Neurospora crassa OR74A: one gene and its partner. The protein of the gene in region 1 interacts with the protein of each later gene in a biochemical or structural test. Links are inferred from orthologs where the notes say so. Each region holds a gene or a part of one and is shown on either strand. Other genes may lie near its edges. The genes, in order: NCU01318 and NCU11181.

Region 1 (4,581 bases):
CGAGCTTGGGAACCGCCCTGGTCGCAAACAATGAAACGAGGGAGAGGGAAACGGTCGGTAATAAGATCCTGTACACGGTCAGAAAAAAAGCCCCAACATAATTCGATCAGAGATGAACAGGAGACAACTTACCCTTGCATCTTCCTTGGGCTGCTCCAAAAGCGCAGCAAAGTTCTCGTATCCCTCTTGGTCTTGGTAGCCGGCCTTTCTCCATTCCGCAATCGTCTCACCATGGAAGATCAGAATGTGGAAGAAGGTATCGAGCAGGAGGATGTGGGTAGGCTGAATGGAGGTAGAGTCGAGCAGAACGGGGACACCGCCTTCTTGGTCGAAGGTGTAGGAGTCGAGCGTTGGTTGAATCATGATGAGCGAGTTACTAACATCCTCATGGTTGAGAACGTGCCGATAGAATGCGGTCTCATCGGGAGAGTTGTTAAAGACTTGCAAGAACTGACTCCTACGCAAGTGGAACATGAACTGTGGGTACAGCGTGAAGTTCTTTTCCAAGCGGAACGATGACGGGTCGTCCTTGCGGTAATCGGCAAATCTGGCGCAGAGCCTGATGAGCATGCGGTCAACCCACCGGAGCACATCAGGCCCATCGTCAACCTCCGCCTTGAAAACAGCGATACGCGACATAAGCACGGCTGCTGCCTCCTGGTCAAATGACTGCGCGATGGCCGGGTCTCCGGCGGGGCCGCTGAGGTTTCGGGCAATGGTGGTCACCCGAAGGTGGAAGTGGCCAGACGAGTGCTGGTAATAAGTCAAGAACTGCATCATTCCCTTTTGGGGACTCTGCATGTTCTGGGACGGGCCGCCTTGGTTGGCGATTTCGAAGTAGATACCGTAGCTGGAGCTGGGGTCGATACCGCACATCTTCCACGTGCAAGTGTTACCTATGCCGCACTCGGTTTCGCCGACGGACGTCGATTTTTTGTTGAGAGAGACTGCATGACCAATCAACCCAGTAACCTTGAGTTCCTTCGTTGTAAGTACTTCCAAAACCGCATTGAAGCCCATGAGCAGATTGTCATCCGCGTCCTTTTCGAAAATGCGGACGAATGACTGCTTGAACATGGATGAGGTGAAGCTGTCCGTCAGAATCATGTGGCCACCCGTCGAGTTGCACAGACCCTTCATTTCAAGTAGACCAACTTGATCAAGACAGCCGGCAAAAATGTCAATAGTGTGGCCGTTGTGCGCCGTTCGCTTAGCGAGGTTGTCGTAGAACTATAATAAATGTTAGCATGACACAGACTGTTTCCTGCACCACAACTTGAAGATGAACGTACCTTGAGTGCCTTCTTGTAATACTTGATGTTGTCACGGTCGATATCGTGATGGGAGCGGATCGGTTCCCTCAGCTCGGGGCCAACAACCATGCCAGGTCCCTCAGTGGCCGGACCACCAGCAAAGAGCATAATGCGACCACCGGCATTCTGGAACGACGTTTCGAGCAGGCCAACAGCTACGGACAACGCAACACCGGTGCAGCGCAAGGCTCTGAGGTTACCGGCAACAGGCCAGGGATCCTTCTGAAGCTGCTCAATGGCCTTGGTCAACTGGAACTCGGCCTGAGAGACCGGAAGCAAGAATCTTGAGGCAGGGCCGGCCGGGAAGGGCCTGCCAGGCTGTTGCATAGGCATGCCCGGACGCATGGCAGGTTGTACGAGCCCAAGCATCTCCTGGACCTGCTTGGCCGCGTACTCCTTGTTACCGCGGAAAACATATGATTTAGGGCACTCGGTATAGCCAATCTCGTGGACCTGGGCCATGGTGCCGTATGTAATCAGGCCGACAAGGGCGTGCTCGGGCAATAGGCTCAAGCTCATGATGAGCGACTCCTTGAGAGCAGCCAAGCTGTCCTCCTCCTGGCACGTATCGACGACATAGAGGAAGATCGGAGGGGCGGGGGCGGGCCGCGAGAGCCTGTACTCGATGGTAGTGTTGGAAGGGTGCAGCTCGGGTGGAATCGCATTTGCGGTGATGTCCTTGTAGTGTGGCGGGAGAGGATTCCTCGAGAGACAGAAGGGGCAGATCCACAGGCGGGCGCGCACATCGACTTGACTGGGCGAGGGTATCAGCAATGGGCGCGACAAGTCGGGGCGACGAAGATGGCTCACCAGTAGGGGTTTAACACGGAGCGGCAGGGCTGCTTGCAACTGACGGGGTCGAACTGCAGCAGAGGCGTGTCGGGCTTCTCCTTGAGAGGGGTATAAAGGGCGCCGATGGGGACGACGAGTCTCGAAGCTTCCTGAAGAAAGGGTCAGCGATAAAGGGGTGACGCGAAGTAGCAAGTATGCGAAAGAGCGGAACTGACCATGCGGGTGCTGGGGAAGACATTCCAGCTCAGACGAACGCCATCACGGTCCTCGACCTCGCCCCATTGCTCCTTGAGGGCTTCGTAATCCATGTTGATGTCGGCGGCGGCGTCCTCGGTCGATGGTCGCAGTCGGGGATAGAGAGGAACAGCTGGAGAGGGGTGATGGTGGTGTCGGCGGTTTGTTGGATTAGAAGATTAAGGGAATTAATGTGGATGATCCGTCGTCTACGCGGTGGTAGCTCCAGAGATAGGTACGGGGCGGGCGGCGGGCAACGGGCAACGTCGTCGGGCGGCTACGTGCAAGGTGTCATTAGCTCCGAGACCTGGAACGCACGAGACACTCGAGACATCCACCGTCCACCACACAGTCCACAGCAGCTGTCTTGCGGCAGGCGGGACCTGAGGCTAGATGTGGAAGCTAGGGGGAAAAGCGGGCTCCGTGCGAGTACATACCGCGGGGGGAGGCAATAAGGTATGGACGGGATCCCAGTTGTGGTGTGTCGCCAGGAAGATGCAACAACTGAACTGAAGAACCTCTTTTTCGACGCTCCTGAAAATTCAAGGTCCACTTTAAAGTGTTGACTGTCGTCCAGGAAGCCCTGCGCAAGATCACAGAGTTAACGACGCGCTGCTCTTCTGCAATCGGTCAAGTCGTTTGCGACAAGGTGATGGGATCAAAATGTTCAGAAATACCCCAATCGCTTCTACTGCAATGGAAGCCGACTGCAACAGGCGATAGTATCAATTTCTGATTTGCGGCTCTGTTGTCATTTGCTCCCCTCCAGTTGTTGAAAAGGACAGGTACCTCGTTCCCCTCCATCGAAAGGCAGGGGGCAGCTCTGCTGACAGACGACGGGAGGCTGCTTGCCAGCTGGTGCGTAGCCGACGAGCTGACGCCAATCACCACTTACCTCACCGTGCCACCGCGGCCGCCGTGGTAAACTGCATCTCCAAGCTGCAAGTTGCAACCTTTGTTCCGTCAGCACGAAATTGTCGGATGTACCAAGTGTTTTCCCGGTGCAGTGATGTTCCCGCGGCGTCGGATCATGAATGAAAAACAACATTGGCGAATCGCGACATCTCGACATGGAAATTGAATAGGTACCTATTCAGCATCGTATGCTTGCCCTCACCATCGACGCCTCGGGAGACGTCAAGCTTTGATTCCGTTACCCTTGGGCTCCAGTCATGATTCCGACCTGTGGCCGGCTGGCCGTTGAGTTTTGGCTAGCTCTGATTAGCCTGCTCGCATCTCTGTCCTAATGCTCGGTCTTGTGTCGATCCTACCACTCATGCCAGCATTTGGTGTTCTTCAAGAACCGTACCCTGCTCGCCCCATCCTGTTTCAGCCCACTGTGTCGAGCACGACCAAAATACCTTTTTGTGTTACCGTCGGGTTATCCTGAAGAATCCGCCTGTCGCGGGGGAACTCAATCAAACAACTCGCTCGCTCGCAGGCTCAGTCAGTCAAGCCAGCAGATGGTAAACTCGCGGCTGTGCTGCATCGCACAAACGCCCGCTCTCCGGTGATCACCCTCTCTGTTCTGAGCAGGCTCACTTTTACTTGTTACTCGACGAGTAGGGATCAGCCTTATCTCCTACTGTAGTGCTGACTTGATGCAACCCTTGGGTACGCTAAGATACGAAAGGGGCCGAGCAGCCGCCAGGTAGCAGTCAACAGGCACCATTGACAGTCCACGGTGATATTACCGTGGCTCACCTCTCCCGACCTCGTTTATAATTACAGTCGGATCCTATAGGATCATCACCTACCACCATGTCTCGATGGCGCTTCAGGGGAGCTAGCCCTTTTCGTGGGTAGAAAGCTGACACGCGTAGCATTTTGCTCAGAAATTTCTTCCTCCTCTCCCATTCTTCTCTTCTCTCTCTTGTTGCCCTCTGAAATCAGTCATCATGGTCAGGAGGTCGACTTCCCTTCTGTGCTGTGTAATACAGCCGTGGATTTGCCAGGCGGGTAGCACTATCACCCTACCCAAGGCAGATGAATCAATCATCCTTCCACGACAGGTTAACGGTGCTATCAGTCCCTCGACATTTCTGCGCAGAGGCTATCAATCGTGTGAGCATTGCCGTCATTGTCTTTTTCTCAGTGCATCATGACCATCTGGCTAATCGAACCAAAGCCGCGGTTTTAAACGGGCGCGTGTACATTGACGGCGGTGAGGTCTCGTACTACAGCGGTACTGACATCACCTTTCAATACTGTAAGACTCTCCACGCATTAACTCTTGAAACTA
Region 2 (4,178 bases), on another chromosome or scaffold:
CGCCCAAAAGGCGTCTTTCTCCCTGCCCCAAGAAGTCTCGCGGCCGTAATGATCGCAACCTGTTCGACCGCTCTTCTCCCCGCAGGATGAGATCACCTCCGCCTCCTGTTCTTTCCGCAAAGTCTCCCCTTGCTTCTCCTGTTACGGGAGCCGATGGCGTTGCGTTCAAGTCACTCGCATTCAGACCGGGCCTGACATTCACCAAGTCACTGCCCAAGGGTCCTGTCATGTTCCCTCACATCAACAAGCAGCAGCCTCGCAGATCCCGTGCTGGCACCACCACCCAAGACACTCACGTTCGGGGTGCCATTGACATTGTCAAGGGTTTGGAGGAGAAGCGCCAGAGGCGCAAAGAAAAGTATTATCAAAAGTATTGCACCCGGGCCCGCAAGGAGAAGGCTCAGCCCAAGAGACCTCCTCCAGGACAAGGTGCCGAGCGCATGCGCGAAGTTGGTCTAATAATGGCTGGCAAGATCGGCCAGGGCAACTATGTTCTTTCTTATTAAACTCACGGCGAGGGCCGTTTATCAGCATTCACATGGCGAATTATACCCTGGGTTACAACGGCAACTGGAGAGGCATTTTTTTGATGTTTACCACGTTTGGCGGCAGCGGCTTTCTCTCGTCCGGCATTCGGTATTTACATTTTCATCCCCCGGCTCATTGATTACACCTTTTGTACCACCCGTTTCATTATAATTGCATACTCGAAGTTGCAAGCAAGCATCGGGTCGGCTTCCTTTGGGCTGTGCCTGGGCGGACATGTTCTGTATGTTCTTGTTCTTTTCTTGTTAACGTTTTTGTACATATTCTTTTTTTTTCTGCCTGCGCTTGCTCTACTTTTTCCACTTTCTACGTGGCACGCTGCTTTTTACAGAGCGCTCGTGTACACAATCGGACTCTCTGTAGAGGCGGAGATACGGATTTGATGGCCGGGGGTAGATATACCCTGCAGAACCTGTCTTGGAGTTTGAGACCTCTGGAGACGACGGGAGGATGGGAAGGGGACGAGACGGATGGCAACGGATTGGCAATAATCCGTATCAGCGATTGTGAGCTGACATCTTGGTTTGGACATACACAACCAAGTGCTGGGGTTGGGAAGGAAACTCGTCTATACATAACTATAGATCCTCCTCCTACATACCTCAAACAAAGAAGTAAAATTTTCAAAACAAGCCAATGTGTTCCTTTGCTTCATTCAGTGAACCTATTTCTTCGATGAACGTCTGGGATTACAGGCGAGAGCAGTGACGGCGTCTTGACGGGAGATTTGTCGGACTGAGCGGGTGGCATCTGGAACCCTCCTTCTCCTGAATCTTGCATCAATGCCACCTGCATGGCTTCTTGATGCGGTTGCTACGGTCGCTTTGGCAGCTGCAGGCGGGCGTGCATGTGTGGTAGTTTACAGGTACTTATTTCCCGCTGTTTTCTTTTATTTTCTTCCTTTCTTTTGGGCGGTGACGGGCCTTTTGGGCGGTTGTGCCGGGGATTTTGCCCCTGAACGGGCCGTCTTGCTTCCCCCCCCCCCCCCCCCCCGACTGCCCCACGGGCATGCTCGCTCACTGCACCAAGCAAAAAAGGGGAGGAAAAAAGACAGGTCACGTGTGAATGCCTGAAATACCAGGCCAACAGTCACAAGACTATTGCAGGGGCCAGTCCAGCGCTGTCCTCGCCTGCCGTATCGTTCATGCCAGCAGTGCACTTCTGGGCTCGCGTGGGTCATTGAACCTTCTATGGACATCTTTCCTTGTAGCGTGTGCCCGACCGCCTTCGATCCGCCGCCGCCCCGTACACTTTTGTCATAGCTTCCAGCTGCTTTCGCATCGCAACATCCACGACGCCAGCAACGAAGCCTCATCAACACCCTCGCTACGATTTCGCCGGTCCCTCTTTGTGTGCCTAACACTTTACCGGCGCTTTGCACGACTACCTGTTCTTCTAGAACTCCTCGACTTTCCCGTATCATCGACAAAAGAGGTGTTTTCTAGATAATCATTTCGTCACCATGTGGTTGTGGTCTTGGTGTATGTTGTCGCATCCCTATCCCATCCGTCGCCCACGTTACCTACCCAAACTTCCCGTCATCCCTTCGTTCATCACTGTCGTGCACCATGGATATGGAAATGCATAGCATGAACATGCGGACTGCTGGGGATTTGGGAAGGGGTTGTTCATGATGATATTGGACGAACACGTCTGGAAACTCGCAAAGCTGACATGATGGCGCCACCAACAAACAGTCTACGATATCCTTTCCAACCTCGGCCTGCTCAACAAGCATGGCAAGCTGCTCTTCCTGGGTCTCGACAATGCCGGAAAGACCACTCTTCTACACATGTTGAAGAATGATCGCGTTGCCATTCTCCAACCTACTCTTCATCCGAGTCAGTTCAACCACCTGCAGCTGCCACCTGCCACTGTTTCTCCGTCAACGCCGGGACCTTGATACCCGAGCACCTTCCGCCTTCTCCCCCTTCGCCTCGACTCTTCCCGTCCCTACTCCCGTTCCTGGCTCCATACACCGAATCAGATATGCGCGCACATGTGAGGGCGAGATGTTTAGAGAATAATTATGGCTGACATGATTCGTTGTAGCTTCGGAGGAGCTTTCTGTCGGCAACGTCAAGTTCACCACTTTCGATCTTGGCGGTCATCAGCAGGGTGAGTGGATAATCATCTCCTATTTAGGGCTTATGTCAAATCCTCTCGGGACATTGACAAGCCGCTCTACTGCTGCGGTCTCGACTAACAAATGACGTATCTACAGCCCGTCGTCTTTGGAAGGATTACTTCCCCGAAGTAAACGGTATCGTTTTCCTCGTGGACGCCAAGGACCACGAGCGTCTCCCCGAGGCCAAGGCCGAGATCGACGCGCTCCTCTCGATGGAGGAGTTGGCCAAGGTTCCCTTCGTTGTGCTCGGCAACAAGATTGACCATCCCGAAGCCGTCTCTGAGGACGAGCTCAGGCAGAGACTCGGGCTCTGGCAAACGACCGGCAAGGGCAGGGTTCCTCTCGAGGGCATCCGCCCCATCGAGGTGTTTATGTGCTCTGTGGTTATGAGACAGGGATACGGAGAGGCTATCAGGTGGTTGTCCCAGTACGTTTAAGGGGTCTGATGAAATGCGGAGCAGCACAGGATGGTTGTCAGGTAATAACATTTTGTAATATGATACGATGATGACAATGAAGGAACTGGAGGGTCTCGCGATATCAAAAATTGACGGGCGTATTTTCACAATGAACAGATACGCACGAGGCTTATCAGACACAAATGGGACGTTGGAGGGACTAGTGTACGTTTGACCACTGCCGTTATCTGGCTCTAACGGTATAGGTTATCTTTTGCTCTCCGTCAGATTCCGGTACCTATAGCTTGTTCTATTCCCTTAGTAACACGGTGTCTACCTAGCCCGGCCCGAGTTTGAGCGGTCATTCTAGCAATCTGTAGAATCATTGTATGTACGGATGAACGTGAACATCTCCAACAAAGCCTAGTCTAGTTCTCGAATGACAAGGATTCGTTCCGGAGTGATTCCCCAGTAAGAACACGTGTATGCCATCATTTGTTGGGCTGGAACGCATGTGCAGAAGAGACACTACTAGTACGTAGCCCGGCAAGAGCCCCGTCCTCGGCTTCGCCCGCCCACTAAACATGTACACAGTACACTATTCCGGGCGAGGGTCGACCGACGTCATCCAACAATCTGCCACCCGACCCGCGCAACTCCAACGCTTCCGGCACCAGGACTGACATCAAGAACGATCAAGCACCGACCATTGCGCCAGCAACCAGCGTTGTATCCCGATCACCTTGAACAATTCTTTCCTTTGTAACCCCCTTATCGTCAAATCCCTCTTTCAGTCCGTGTCACCTTTCTGTCCAGCCATTCCCTGTGGCTTGTTTCAGGGTGGATCAGTCAGAAGATCAAAAAGCCAGAAGGCTTCGATCATCATCAGCTACATATACAGGACCAAGACGCCGAAGATTCCACTTCGCATGCTTCCCTGGCCATTAGCCGATATCATTTAGTGACGACGTCGACGATCCTTGAAGCATCTGCCAAGCGTTTACTGTGCTTGGATTCCTGTCCCTTTTTCCCTACAGTTCGCAATCTCGTTTGCGACTTGCTGTTTTTTGATTACGCGACAACTCGAACAGAACGAAAAGCCTCCT

What was found.
Region 2: the proteins of NCU01318 (region 1) and NCU11181 form a complex in vitro, tested with the Saccharomyces cerevisiae proteins (6 studies listed by BioGRID, with this or other methods). The link is inferred for Neurospora crassa OR74A from reciprocal best matches to the Saccharomyces cerevisiae genes SEC23 and SAR1.

The regions. Positions count from the first base shown.
Region 1 is NC_026505.1:3,643,564-3,648,144, forward strand, and holds the start of NCU01318 (protein transporter sec-23), read right to left. Parts: upstream 3,094-4,581; 5' UTR 2,777-3,093; intron 2,617-2,776; 5' UTR 2,414-2,616; coding exon 2,321-2,413; intron 2,255-2,320; coding exon 2,124-2,254; intron 2,068-2,123; coding exon 1,293-2,067; intron 1,231-1,292; coding exon 133-1,230; intron 69-132; coding exon 1-68. Other genes in the region: NCU01319 (hypothetical protein), read left to right, coding at 4,238-4,403, 4,468-4,548. UniProt on the Saccharomyces cerevisiae protein: Component of the coat protein complex II (COPII) which promotes the formation of transport vesicles from the endoplasmic reticulum (ER).
Region 2 is NC_026503.1:3,651,360-3,655,537, reverse strand, and holds NCU11181 (Ras superfamily GTPase), read left to right. Parts: upstream 1-1,541; 5' UTR 1,542-2,008; coding exon 2,009-2,027; intron 2,028-2,243; coding exon 2,244-2,387; intron 2,388-2,598; coding exon 2,599-2,664; intron 2,665-2,770; coding exon 2,771-3,111; 3' UTR 3,112-3,531; downstream 3,532-4,178. Other genes in the region: NCU00382 (hypothetical protein), read left to right, coding at 1-506. UniProt on the Saccharomyces cerevisiae protein: Small GTPase component of the coat protein complex II (COPII) which promotes the formation of transport vesicles from the endoplasmic reticulum (ER).